3 linked regions of the Nothobranchius furzeri genome follow. The protein of the gene in region 2 interacts with the protein of the main gene of each other region in a pairwise test. Links are inferred from orthologs where the notes say so. Each region holds a gene or a part of one and is shown on either strand. Other genes may lie near its edges.

Evidence for each region.
Region 1: the proteins of trim55b (region 2) and tcap interact in a two-hybrid assay, tested with the Homo sapiens proteins (2 studies listed by BioGRID and IntAct). The link is inferred for Nothobranchius furzeri from reciprocal best matches to the Homo sapiens genes TRIM55 and TCAP.
Region 3: the proteins of trim55b (region 2) and usp13 interact in a two-hybrid assay, tested with the Homo sapiens proteins (2 studies listed by BioGRID and IntAct). The link is inferred for Nothobranchius furzeri from reciprocal best matches to the Homo sapiens genes TRIM55 and USP13.

The regions. Positions count from the first base shown.
Region 1 is NC_091745.1:14,198,355-14,202,411, reverse strand, and holds tcap (telethonin), read left to right. Parts: upstream 1-1,715; 5' UTR 1,716-1,938; coding exon 1,939-2,087; intron 2,088-2,197; coding exon 2,198-2,588; 3' UTR 2,589-3,089; downstream 3,090-4,057. UniProt on the Homo sapiens protein: Muscle assembly regulating factor. Mediates the antiparallel assembly of titin (TTN) molecules at the sarcomeric Z-disk.
Region 2 is NC_091747.1:51,574,052-51,579,295, forward strand, and holds the start of trim55b (tripartite motif-containing protein 55), read left to right. Parts: upstream 1-1,725; 5' UTR 1,726-1,944; coding exon 1,945-2,020; intron 2,021-3,073; coding exon 3,074-3,201; intron 3,202-3,660; coding exon 3,661-3,830; intron 3,831-5,244. UniProt on the Homo sapiens protein: E3 ubiquitin ligase that plays an important role in regulating cardiac development and contractility, muscle growth, metabolism, and fiber-type differentiation.
Region 3 is NC_091748.1:59,206,708-59,210,408, forward strand, and holds the end of usp13 (ubiquitin carboxyl-terminal hydrolase 13), read right to left. Parts: intron 1,975-3,701; coding exon 1,890-1,974; intron 1,673-1,889; coding exon 1,576-1,672; 3' UTR 1,303-1,575; downstream 1-1,302. UniProt on the Homo sapiens protein: Deubiquitinase that mediates deubiquitination of target proteins such as BECN1, MITF, SKP2 and USP10 and is involved in various processes such as autophagy, endoplasmic reticulum-associated degradation (ERAD), cell cycle progression or DNA damage response.

The sequences.
Region 1 (4,057 bases), on a different chromosome or scaffold from region 2:
TGCTGATTGGTTGTAACCAAGTAGGAAATGACATTGGCAGATGTAGCCAAACAATCGGCATTTGTAAAACTGGAAAAATTGCTAGTGCAGCAGAATGGAAGGAAAATAAAATAAACTGTTTTCATGCTGCTTTATAATCAATGTTTCTTAACTCAATTATCACACTAAATGCAAGCTGTTACCATTCACTTCCATTGTTTATATTAAGCTAAAGCAAATGCAATACTTCCAGATGAGGAGAATGACAGCTGGTTCTCTTTAAACGGAGGGTGAATATCCAGTGATTCATGTTTAAAAACGTCATTATCTGTCCATCCTTACATCCATTTTCTGTACCTGCTTATCCACGCAGGGTTTCGGGGGGCTGGTGCCAGCAGTCTCCAGGCAAACGGGTGGGGTGCACCTTACAGGTTGCCAGTTCATCGAAGGGCCACACAGGGACACACAGGACAAACAACCATACACACACACACACTCACACCTAAGGAAATTTTGGAGAAACCAATCAACTTGACATTCATGCTTTTGGACTGTGGGAGGAAGTCGGAGAACCTGGAGAGAACCCACGGGGAGAACATGCAAACTCCATGCAGAAGGACCCCAGGCCAGGGGTCCTTCTGCATGACCTTCTTGCTGCTAGGCAACAGTGCCAACCACTGCGCCACTGCAGCCGTTTATTTAATATTTTATTTTATCAAAACATGTTAAATGATTTATAAGATATTTAGCTAAAAACGCACAAGCAAAAACATCATTATCCGCGTTCCTCCTTTTGACAGTGAGCAGGACGTAAACAGGAAGTCTCTTTAAATGACAAAAACATGTCACGCTGATTTTCTGACCTAAACAGATGACCTTTGGGATGCCAGCGGCTGCTTTACACCTTTTTTCTCACCGTGGCAGCATTCCTGTCATGTTGTGTCAACTAGCTGATAAGTTGCTAAGAAACAGGTGAAAACGTTTTTGCACTTGGCACGAAAATAACACTAAACCGCCATCTCGAATGGTAAAGACATGGAAAGATGATAAAAAGAGATGAGAATAAGTCCCACAATGAGAGGAAAGAAAGCGTGAGGTTTGTAAGAAGTCTAGATGATTGGTGTTCCTGCCTAACTGGTCGTTTAGATGCCTTATTATTATGCTGTGTGTGTGATAAGTGATATCTGTGTTGTGATGATGATTTCAGTGCCCCATGTGGGTGAATGAGTCAGAGACAGGGACTGGTAGTAACATAACACCAACACATAACTGGCAGAGGTGAGTGTGTCTGTGTGTGTGTGTGTGTGTGTGTGTGTGTGTGTGTGTGTGTGTGTGTGTGTGTGTGTGTGTGTGTGTGTGTGTGTGTGTGTGTGTGTGTGTGTGTGTGTGTGTGTGTGTGTGTTTCGGTCAGTAACCCAAGTTGCTAACAGCTTGAGTGGTGCTCTGTCACTGAGGTAATGAATCACACGCTTTGGAGCTTTGAAAGACGTCCAGCGGAGGGGCTGGTGTTGTCATGAGGCCCGGTTGTTTTTTAACGATAAAAAATGATGATTATATCATCTGAAATGTCCTTATAAAGCGGCTGCTGTCCCGTTTCACAGCTGAACATACAAGTTTATCATACCTCTATTCATAGCGCCGATTGTTCTGTCCCCTCTGCGACCGCCGCTGAAGTGGGCTGAGTGCTTTCAGAAGCCAGGGGGATTTTCTGGCCAACCACCCTTCAACTCATCCTCAGTTTGGATTCCAGCTGTCCGGGAATGAACCGCGGAGTAGTCGGTGTCAGATGTCAGTACACACTGGAAGCAGAATGACAACGTGAATCAGAAATAGTCACGGGGCGTCTATAAAAGCTGTGGACAGATCGCTGTGCCACTCAAACACTCTGAAGAGAGAGTCTAGACGTCTCAGAGAGAGAACCAGCTTTCAGGAACCCAAGATCCCCAGACAGTAGAAAACATGCCATTCTGCAGCATACTGGAGAAGAGTAACGGCATGGTGGTGGGAGCAGAGCTGGCCTGCAGCATCCGGGAGGAAAACACGGCTAAGAGGGAGAGCTACAGTGCTGACTGGCACAGCGTTGATCTGAAAACTCAACCTCAGGACAGGTGAGACACCACATGCTCCATCTACTCAGTGGTTTGTACTGAGATTCCTCTTGTTTTAACCTTGGAGTGTTATTAAGTCTCTAAGTTGAACTGTCGTCTGATGCCCACAGACAAACCATGAGCATGAAGGACGACTCCCGTAGAGAGACCCTCTCCCGGCAGTGGCAGTACCGCTCTCTGATCCAGACCTGCCCCTCTGGTGTCTTCAGGGTGGGCACTGTGGAAAGAGGGATGAAGGAGCACCAGTTGCTGCCAAAGAGACACACCCTCCCCCTGCCCATCTTTACCCCAACAGAGCTGGGTGTCAGGCTGGGACGTGGTGCCCCGCACACAGAGCACGACCTGCAGCCCTTCCCCACACGAGATGGGGTCTGCCCCAGCAAGAGGAGTGTGGACGAGATCACCAGAGACCTCCCCCCCATCAAACCGGTCCTCATGGAGTTCACTAAAGCCCCCAGAGCTCTGGGTCGCTCCATGTCACAGGAAGCCCAAAGAGGCTGAACGGAAAAGATAGAGGCGGAAAAAGAAGAGAATATGTTAGCTTGTTTGATCCACTTGTGAATGTGATGCTAGCACTAGTGCACTTTTATTGTGAAAAGTGCAAGTTTAACAGAACGATGGCGATGCAAGTTATCAGAAAGAAGGTTGAAAGTGTTTGAAGGGCAAGAAGGGATGGATGGAGTGGTATGGTGATGAAACGTGATGTTTGGGTTGGTCACCTCCCAGGAGCTTCTGCCAGTTCTGTATGGAGAGAACAGAATGCACTGGCACCATCACACACTGCTGCTGTTCCTGAGTGAGTGTGTGTGTGTAGACTGGTACCTGTTTTCGTCTCGCTTCATTAACTCATTCTTCCTGTTAGCTGAGTGGCAGCTGCTGTCTGATCCTGACAGCAGACACAAGTTTGGCTGAGATCATGAACAACTTTTTAATGTGTGAAATGATGATATTTGTTTATTGGAAATGAAATATTTTTGCTAATAAAACTTTAAGTACTCATAATTTCCTTGTCTTCAGACTTGTTTCTGTGATATTCTTGAAAAACCCTAAATTAGGTTTTACGTAGAGAAAAACAAAATGACTACAACGAAGATGAATGAATCACCCATCTTAAAGTATCTGAGCAGCTCCCTGTTAAGTCCCACTTTAGTCTGATGTGGAGCTGACGTGCTGGCGCTGCAGTCCGCTTCCAGCATGTCTTCTGCATGGTTTAGATCATGAACACAGCTGATTTGTTTAATTCAGTGATGAATCCCTCCTGATGAAGGCTGGGGAGACAATTAGCAGTTAGATTAAGGTGTTAAAAAGACGAACGTACAGCAAGAAGAGGAGATTCACTTTTGCTTTCACTAACAGACACTAGGGGGCGATAAAGGCAAGCCAAAACTGCCTACTATCCCTTTAAAAGATCAATTTCTGGTATTTTTTCAATAATGTCTAAAGCATCAAAAGTAATTGAGTGAAGTGACAACAAACAAAAACAAACTTTATTCTAAACTCCTTTGTACGTTCAATCTGTCTTTTTTAACACAGTTTATTAAAAGTAACAAAGTAATGAAAAACAACTTTGTGAGAGAACAGTTTACACAGGAAAAACATTATATTTTTAACTAATACTAATAACTATAATAATTTTTATTAATTATTTCCTTAAATTTAGTCGTTTTCACTAAATAAAAATGCAAAAAAGAAACATTTTCACAGTATATTTCATTATGTGGATATTTAAGAGTCCCTCAAATAAAATTAGCATATGCAGTTCTGATGCATGAATATGTACATTTTTAAGATCTAATCTATCTTTGTATTTGATTTTACTTTTCACAACACATAAATGGTGTGAGCATAACCATCTTCGCTTGAACACCAGGAAGACAAAGGAAATGATTGACTTCCAGCGAACCACTCCTCCTCACTCACCAGTAAACATCCAGGGAGCAGACATTGAGGCAGTGGATACTGTAGCATCA
Region 2 (5,244 bases):
TAAACTGGCATCTTCTTTTTGCTCCAAAGGCAGCACTGTCTGGCATTCACGTTGGCCTTTCATCTTTTAAAAAGTCTCCCACACCGCTCTTAATTTGTCAATTTTTATGAGATTTCTGCCAACAGGCTCTGCCATATTATGAGTCAGACGGTTAATGGCTGCAAAATTATGAATTCACTTTAGTGACAAAAACACAACTCGGAACATCTCCCTAATTGATCTCATCTGAATTCACTTTTAGGCGTCAGCTAAATGGTGGGGATCGGCGCGGTCCTCGCTCATTAATGAATGTTTATCACACTAGCCTTTTAAAGATTAATGGTTAAAACTGAATAAAGTGGCGTTCCCAAATGAAATCACAGGAAAAAATATTCATAGAAGAAGCACTTGAACAAAAGAGAGGATCTGGGTGAAACACACAAGCTTATCTTTAATAACAAATATTAATGTGCTCTTTAACATTCTCATATGAGGCAGCAGCTAGATACAGAAGTGGCTGATTTTTATTTTCCTCTCACCTTAAAGGCATTAACATTTTGCTGGAAGCCGTGGTTCCACACCTGCTTTGCTGGTGTCCAACAGATGAATGAAAACAAAGGCACACAAAAATAGAGCGATCGAGAGAGACATTCATTATTTTCAGAAACAACATCTGCCTAAAATGTTTAAACATGACTCACTGACTCTGATGTGCCTGTGCGAAACGCGCTGCATGCATTTCCATGTGGCCTCACTATAAAAGGAACAGAGGTGCAAGATGCAGATGTCATGTTGTATTAGTCAGAGGAAAACGACAAATTAGGTATAAAGTACTTTCAAAAGGTATTTATACAACATTTTACCACAGCGGTAACCACTGACTCAATCTGTAAGGTAAACCTGTCCTAAATGATCAAATTTATTCCACTAATTACATTTAGAAAAATATCTGCATGATGGAAATCAAACATACATGCTTCTAATTAAATTCAAGTGTAAAGGCATGAACTTAAGACCCTTGTTGAAAGGGTAAAAACTAATGTTTTCTGAACAAGTGTCAGAATATAAAATATGAAGCATAAAACACAAAATACTTAATAAATGCATGATGCTTGCCATAATCCATCACACAAGTGCTAATTATCTTCAGTGAGTCATCCATCAGTATGCATCTGCAGTACTGTTTCTGCCGCTTCAATCTAGAGTAAATTATGTTTTATCACAAATATAGAGCAAATGAGAGACATATCAGTAAAAAATTAAAATGAAATTTTTTTGGAGTGTTTGCAAGTATAGGACAATTAGTCGTTTAACTATGTGCAAACATTAAGGCCTTGAATTGAAAAGTTATTAATGTAAAGATTATTGTTTGAGATCAAAAATCTTCACCTAACTGTAATGTGACAAGATAAAGGATTGTGTCTCACCAATAATTTTTATTTTACTTAAACATTTTATTTAAGAGAAGCATATTTTGTCAACATTGTTACCACAGAAAATATGATTATAAATGTAAGAATTTTAACCCGTTTCATGAAATTAACAAATCAAATGTTCAAGGATAGTTTTAAGGATTGTTTTTTTAAAAACTCAAAAGTAACCCTCTCCTTCGAGCCGGATTCGAACCAGCGACCTAAGGATTTCAGCGCATACCCACTACAGTCCTCCGCTCTACCAACTGAGCTATCGAAGGGAGACGTTCACTCCAGCCAGATCTACTGGTTTTAAGGGTGTACAGTCACGTGTTTTTATTTTTAGTGTGTTATTCTATAACAATTTCGACTGCAAGTATTAAATACTTCGCTAGTTATGATGGATTTTCACACCATTTAATGCATAGATTTAGGTCCACAGACATATACGTATTCACGTCTATGCTTGTGCTGCTAACGAGGCTATAGCTTCTCAGCTAAGCTAACTTAGCTTAGCTAAGTAACATTACCTAAAGTAAACCGGTGTCGGTAAATGGTATCCTATAACTGTATAATGACTTCTGTATTATCAAGTTTGTGTGGCACCAGACAGCGATTCGGCTCCACAGGTATGTTACGAAACTCAACATAATATGTTGCCGGAAGTTGTGTTGTTACGAGAAGATAGAGCGCTTACATTAAAGCGTTGGGTCGATACCGGCGTCACTTAAATTATCTTTTGATTGTTGACTGGTTAATTTTCTGACTTAATTACTTCTAATGAACTTTTTTAAAATATGCACTACTTCTATAGAGCTGCAACTCCATTAATACATTCTAAAAGACGGACTTTTAATCAAGTTACTGCGATTTTTTCAATTCAGCGAGTAATTCAAGATAAATAAAATAAGAATCGAATAGAAAAATAATTTAATGTCCCTTAGAAGATATTGTTTTTGCTCAAATAGTAATATCCAACGTAGCTACGAAATTAACACTAATAACAATAATAATTCCCTTAAAATATTTTCTGTGTTTTTTAACAAGTTTTATTTAACCAATGAAGCTTACAGGCTTACATAAGAATCAACATTTACAGTTGAATTCTGAGCATGACAAAAAAAAAAAATATGTTTCTGCGGTAGCAAACCTTTTTGTATTCAGGCGGGGTCCTCCTTCATCTGGTGTTGCTTAGAAATGTAGGCAGTTTTTAGGATTTTTTGCTAATCAAATATTATTGAAATGTTAGCATTAGGGGACATAGGTCTTTCAGTTTAGCATTTTTTACATTTTGACTTTCACGTCATCAACATATATTATAAATTAATTAACCAATATATAAATACACATAAAACATCAGCATACTGGACAAAATTGAAAGTTACCTCATATAATTTCACTGATTTTTCCTGCTTTTTGTCCCCCCCTATAGGACGCAGATGGTAGTTTAGAGAGAGATAAGCAGCTGTTCAGTACTGACTAGTTCAGTTTCAAATATGGGCAGGGTATAAATGGCAACATTTGACGTGACAGCAGTAGCTGCTGCTAAAATAAAGCACTGACACCAACTGGGTACTCCCACTTATCCTATTCAGCACCCTCGTGACTGAATCTGCCGTGGATTACTAGCTTTTGATAAACTTTCGCAAATTTAAGTTTTGTATGACTTTGTTTGTCCTAAGCTGGCACCATGGAGAACCTGGAGAAGCAGCTGACTTGTCCCATATGCCTGGAAATGTTTACAAAGCCTGTTGTCATTTTACCTTGCCAGCACAACCTCTGTAGGAAATGTGCCAATGATGTTTTTCAGGTAAGCCAATTTAATGAATCCCCTCAGTTTTTTCTGTAACAACAGAATTTAGGAGTTTAAGAAAAATGTTGATTTATAAGCATCTTATGCATACAAATGCGCTGCCTGGCTCACATTTTAATATCTTCACAGCCACAATAATCACGGTTTGTGCTTTAGTGAGAAAATTAACACTTTGTGTCACAACCAATGATGAGCCAAATATGTATAGGCTTTGTTGAAATATTATTGATGTAATAAGTCACAAGTAAAAACACAATTATTTCATAAATTATTTAAATCTGGCTGTTGGTAAGCTTTTTGATTTACACACTCATTTATGCAAACTTGTTTTGTCTGTACTTCCTCTATGCACATTGCATAACGGCTGAGTGAAACCATTTCATTAACTTGCGCAACAGAGATGTGTTTGACCAGCATCAACACTCCAGAATTAGAGTGTGAATTATTGCTTTGCAGGCTTCAAACCCGTACTTTCCAACCAGAAGTAGCTCGTTGACGTCTGGTGGCCGTTTCCGATGCCCATCCTGCAGGCATGAGGTGGTCCTGGACCGACACGGTGTCTACGGCCTGCAGAGGAACCTGCTGGTTGAGAATATCATTGATATGTTTAAACAGGGATCCAGCAGGTGAGACAGATCAGGCGTAAAGTACACCTAACACTTCCAATATCCAGCAAGAGGGCTTGGTACGTGAGTCAAAGACATCCCTGAGGGCAATAAGCAGGGATAGTAAATGTGAGAGGAGGGAGAGCAGCGTGATGCAGAAGGTGCATCAGTTACTGTTGAGGCTTCTGAGTCATTCTGCTGGTGTAGGTTTGGTCGTTTCTAGTAGCATCATGTGCACGGATGACTTCTCCAGTGGCTGACTGGATAGCCGAAAGGCTAATCTGACATAAAATCCACAGAACTGAAACTTCCCATGTCGTCATAGAGTTTCATTTAATTTAGAACATCAAATAGATTATTTTGAAAACTAATTTCTGCAGATGAATGGTACATAGCAGGTTATGTTTTTGTCTGAGTGCATTGGTTCATTTGCAAAATATCTCATGAGGATGAATTTTGAGATCTATCATTAGATGTAGAGATCAACCGATATGGGTTTTTCTGATGCAGATATCTACAAGCTATGGCCCGCCAAATTTCACAGTCAATATCTTGTAATTTTCCACCTTATCTGCATGCTAAAATGTCACTAATGACAAAATAACGACCATTCATGCACAACATCTCTGAATCGAATCAGTTTTTGAATACTGATTTTAACCGACGTCTGAATCTTGATTTTGTGCAAGATCAAACAATCAACGAGAGTTGCTCAAACAAATCAATTAACTAATTCCATTGTTGGTTCCTTTTTAAAACACAGAAAAGGTTTCTTTTTACCTTGCTGACAGTTTCGTTGGTGGCTGCAAACTTCCTCAGAGCTGATGCTGATGGTGGCATCACTTCCTACTCCATTTATCCGCGGGCAGCAGAGGATGTTGTCATCCTCTGCTGCCCGCTCTCCCCTCACCGATGATGCAGCCCCATGCACGATCCAATGTGTAAACTCCATCATCTCTGGCCGCGAATAAACGGAGTAGGAAGTGACGCCACCATCAGCTGAGGAAGTTTGCAGCCACAAACTAAACTGTCAGCAAGGTAAAAAGAAACCTTTTCTGTGTTTTAAAAAAGAACCAACAATGGTATTAGAAATCAGACACAGCAAGAACGTACCAAAGAAATCAATAAACTGACCAAATATTAAATATAATAAGGTAAATCAAAACAATGCCAGTTGAAAATGATGGTAGAGTGTTTAGAAAGCAGGTGTTTTCAGGGACATAAATATACAATTCAGCAGCAGCGACGGGCTGCCCACACATGTGATTGATGTTAAAAAGGGGTGTGTCGGCCGACAGTGATAAATATTAGCCGACCGATATCGAAATCACTCTTTTCCTAATAGAGTTTATGCCAGAAAACTAACAGTTTGGTGCTTCATGACTTTTTATTCAGGAATAAATGAGGGAAAACTGGAGCAGGAGATCAATGGGTG
Region 3 (3,701 bases), on a different chromosome or scaffold from region 2:
GCCAAAGTTCACAGCATACTGTGAGTGGACACAGCTCTAAGAAAAAGCTCATCAGTTATTCTGATGAGTTGCAGAAACAAAAGACTTGCATAGAGATTTTAATATTCCCCCTGCATAGACAACAAACGCAGCAGCAGGTTATTAGGAGGTTGACAGAAGTGAAGATTTGCTCGGGCATGGTGTTGTTGTTGCAGGAACACAGATTCATTCTGTAAATGTTTCTGAATTCTGTCTGAGAGAAAAGAAACTCATAATTGTCATTTTGATTGAGATGTTCCTTCAAATTCCATCTGGTTTCTTCATTCAACTCTTGTGAAATGCATATTTATTCTGTGCAAGCTGGTTTCTGCTTGATCCAGCTCTAGACAGACATGTTGAGCAGGACTCAGCTTCAGCAGAACAACACCAAGTCCATTCTTCAGCAGAAATCCACTAAAATAATCGTTTTCTGCACTTTGTATTATTGCACTGCTGTAGTTGAGATGCAACAAATAAAAGCAGTCTAAAACCATGTGGTGGGGGGGTTAATAAAATGATCTGAACCCCACTTTGAGCTGTGGAGGACACAGGCTAAAGCTGCAGAGGAGGTTCGGTTTGCAGCGAGCACCAAGTTTTACATTCAGCTGTAGAGGCGGCGGTGGCTGTGCAGCTTTCATTGGACGGATCTGGTTGTAGAGCATATTGCTCCAGATGTGGAAACCGTGAATAAGTGAATAAATAAACCAGCTGTCCTGACAAATGGCAACAAGTCAAGGGAAACATTTATCTCACCTTTTCGGGGTCAGTCTGAATCTGTCAAAGTGATAAAAGGAACCAAACCGCAGCAGGTGCAGCCGAGTTAACGTATATCCAAAAAGTGCTTTGGGGAAAAAAATAATAGCTCTACCTCGGTAACTAAGCCTATGCATAGATGAAAGTGACAAACACACATTATTTATAATTGTAAAACTGGGGCAGTTCTGAGCCAAAATACTGTGTATTTACAGTTGAATTTTTTGGAACAATCCGTCGGTTTTGCTACATTCTGACACAATGTGTTGGTGATTTTTCTAAGCACTAAATATCTCTTCACGATGAAAAACTTTCACCATAATTCAAAGTAAAGTGTAAAACCACTGGCATCAGACTGAATTCCTGGTCTGTTGTTGCAGTTTCTTGGGTATTTTGGGCTGGCAGTGATGCACTGCTGTCTCACTATAAATGTAACACTTTGAAAGTACGGCACAGCAGCTGAAGGCGGAGAGGAGGAACGTCCGGATGTGATATGTCATTTTTTTAGAGAGCATTCTAGAAGTGGAGATTGCACACATCCCTCTTTACCAACATCAGCGTATTTTTTCTTTTCCATAAATAAACACTGAAATATACATTTAAAGCATAACGACACAAACTAATGCACAAAAAAGTACATTGCTTTCCCTTTCTGGCCAAAGCTCCTGGTTGCTCCTGTTGGCGATCTGGATAAGGCAAGCAGCTGGTCTGTGAGGTTTCTTCCATCATTCCCACTGTTGGGAAAGTTGTCAGTCAGTCTTAAGGGTCAAAGACTGGAGGGTGGTTTAAAAGCTGGTGGTGACTTTAACTGCTTGAAAGTCGACGGTAAAAGTAGATGTAGCCCAAATCCTTTGGAGGCCTTTCTGACAAACAGACTTTGTGGTCATTATAGATCACCCACCTGCACAGAGATGAGCATTTAAGAGTTTTGTTGTCTCTTGACCTTACAGAGTCTAGATACTTTCAAAATAAAATAATAACAATTTCAGGAAAAGATTGGCAGAAAAGAAACACGATCATTAACATGCATGTTTCGTAAGGAATAATGAGTGTTGTCAACTTTATTCTACAAGTAAAACCAGAAGAGATGTTATTTAAGGATGCGGGCTGCAGCTCACCTTCCCTCCTTTTTGATGTGACAAACATAATGTCCGGACATCGTGGAGGCTCCCATGTGGCTGATGAAGGCAAACAGTTCGTATCCTAAAACAGGAAGAAGACCAAAACCAGAATAAACAGATCACCGTCACACATCTGAAATCGACAGATGGTAATTGTCAGAATTAGATTCTGAATGATGGGAAAAACAATCAAAACAGTAAATCTACTTAAAGTTCTTTTCATTATATACTCATCTATTTTCACTTACATGATTGTTTGAGTCTACATTTTTTATAAAAGTTTTAATTAAAATGATGACGTACATTTATTTTCAAAAAGCTAACACAAAGGTTTTTCTAGTTCATGAGTTTATTTATAAACTAATTTTTTTTTTACGTTGCATGATGTATAAATGAAGTGAGAATGACATCTTGTGGTCAAATTTGGGTACTGCAGTCTATTTCAAAGCAAAAGAGTGAAGCCTAGTTTCTGCTTCTGCGTCAGTACGAAGACACGAAATGTTATCCATCCATGTGAGGGCTCTCCAGCAGGCTCACAAGGATGAATGGAGTCAAGCCCATTTTTCTAAACGAGACGCAGAACGCAAGCTTGTGACTGGTCAGGCCGCCGCTTTTCGTCAACAGCACCACTATTCCCCCCTCAAAAACATAAAGAGAGCTGAAGATATCTAGCAGCAGACACAGAGTAGCTTGAAGAACACCTCGCGAAAAACCTAAAAATATGAATGTTTTTTTCATCCGTGACTGGATGAGAAAAAAGATACACAGACAGCGTTATATTTGTAGATGGAAATGATTAGGCTCAACTCCTGGCCTGAAGTTCTGTGAGTTTCACGGCTGTTGCCAGCTGTGACTCAACACCAGAAGATTCTAGATGACGAGCGAAGAGTCATACACAGTAAATTGATCAGTGGATAAATACAATTCACTTTAATTTTCAGATGTTAAAAGTTGAAAAAGTTGCTCGAGATATCTTTGGAATTTCTAATTCGCCGTTGGCATTGTTAGCTCAACATTAGCCTCTAGTCTGCTTAACCCGATATTAGAGTAAAATGATGCTGTGGCTTCTTAGGAGTACAAGAAATAACTTATGTGTCACTTCCGTTACTGGCTTAGGATCTTTGCATAACACTTATGGGGTGGTGTCAAATTCCAAATGCCACGACTGGAGCATTAAGCCTAATTTATACTTCTCAGTTTGCGCGGCGCAGAGATACGCAACGTTATTATGCATCAGTGCAAGGGCTCTCCAACAGGCTCGCAGAGGGTGACAGAGACATGCCCAAATTTTTACATATCCATCAAAAGTGACGGAGACCGCAAGCTTGTGATTGGCCAGGACGCCACTTCCTGTAAATTTGTTAACAGCACCACCATTGCCCCCTTAAAAAGTAAAAAGATATTTAACGGCAGACTCTGAACAGATTGAAGAACGCATCGCAGAAAAAGTCCAAAAATAGGAACGTTTATTCACCAGTGATGGAAGGAGTACAAAGATATGGTGCAAGCATTTTGTTCGTGGACGGAACTGACAGGAAACATGGGTTTAGAGCATGGGTTAGCGATGGCAGCCACATGAGAGGTGGAGGATGAAGGACAAATTCATCCGTGTTATGTCTGAAATATATAAACACATTAGTAAATACACTATCATGGACCGGATACAGGAGTGTAATGGTGGCGTGATACCACAGAAAAGTGTTATGCCCTCTGTGGTCCTGGTGGGGAATTGCTTTGTAACACTCCCCAGGTGCCGGAGAAGTCAGAGAAGAAAACGTCTCTGTAAATGCGTACTTGTCTCTCCCTTGT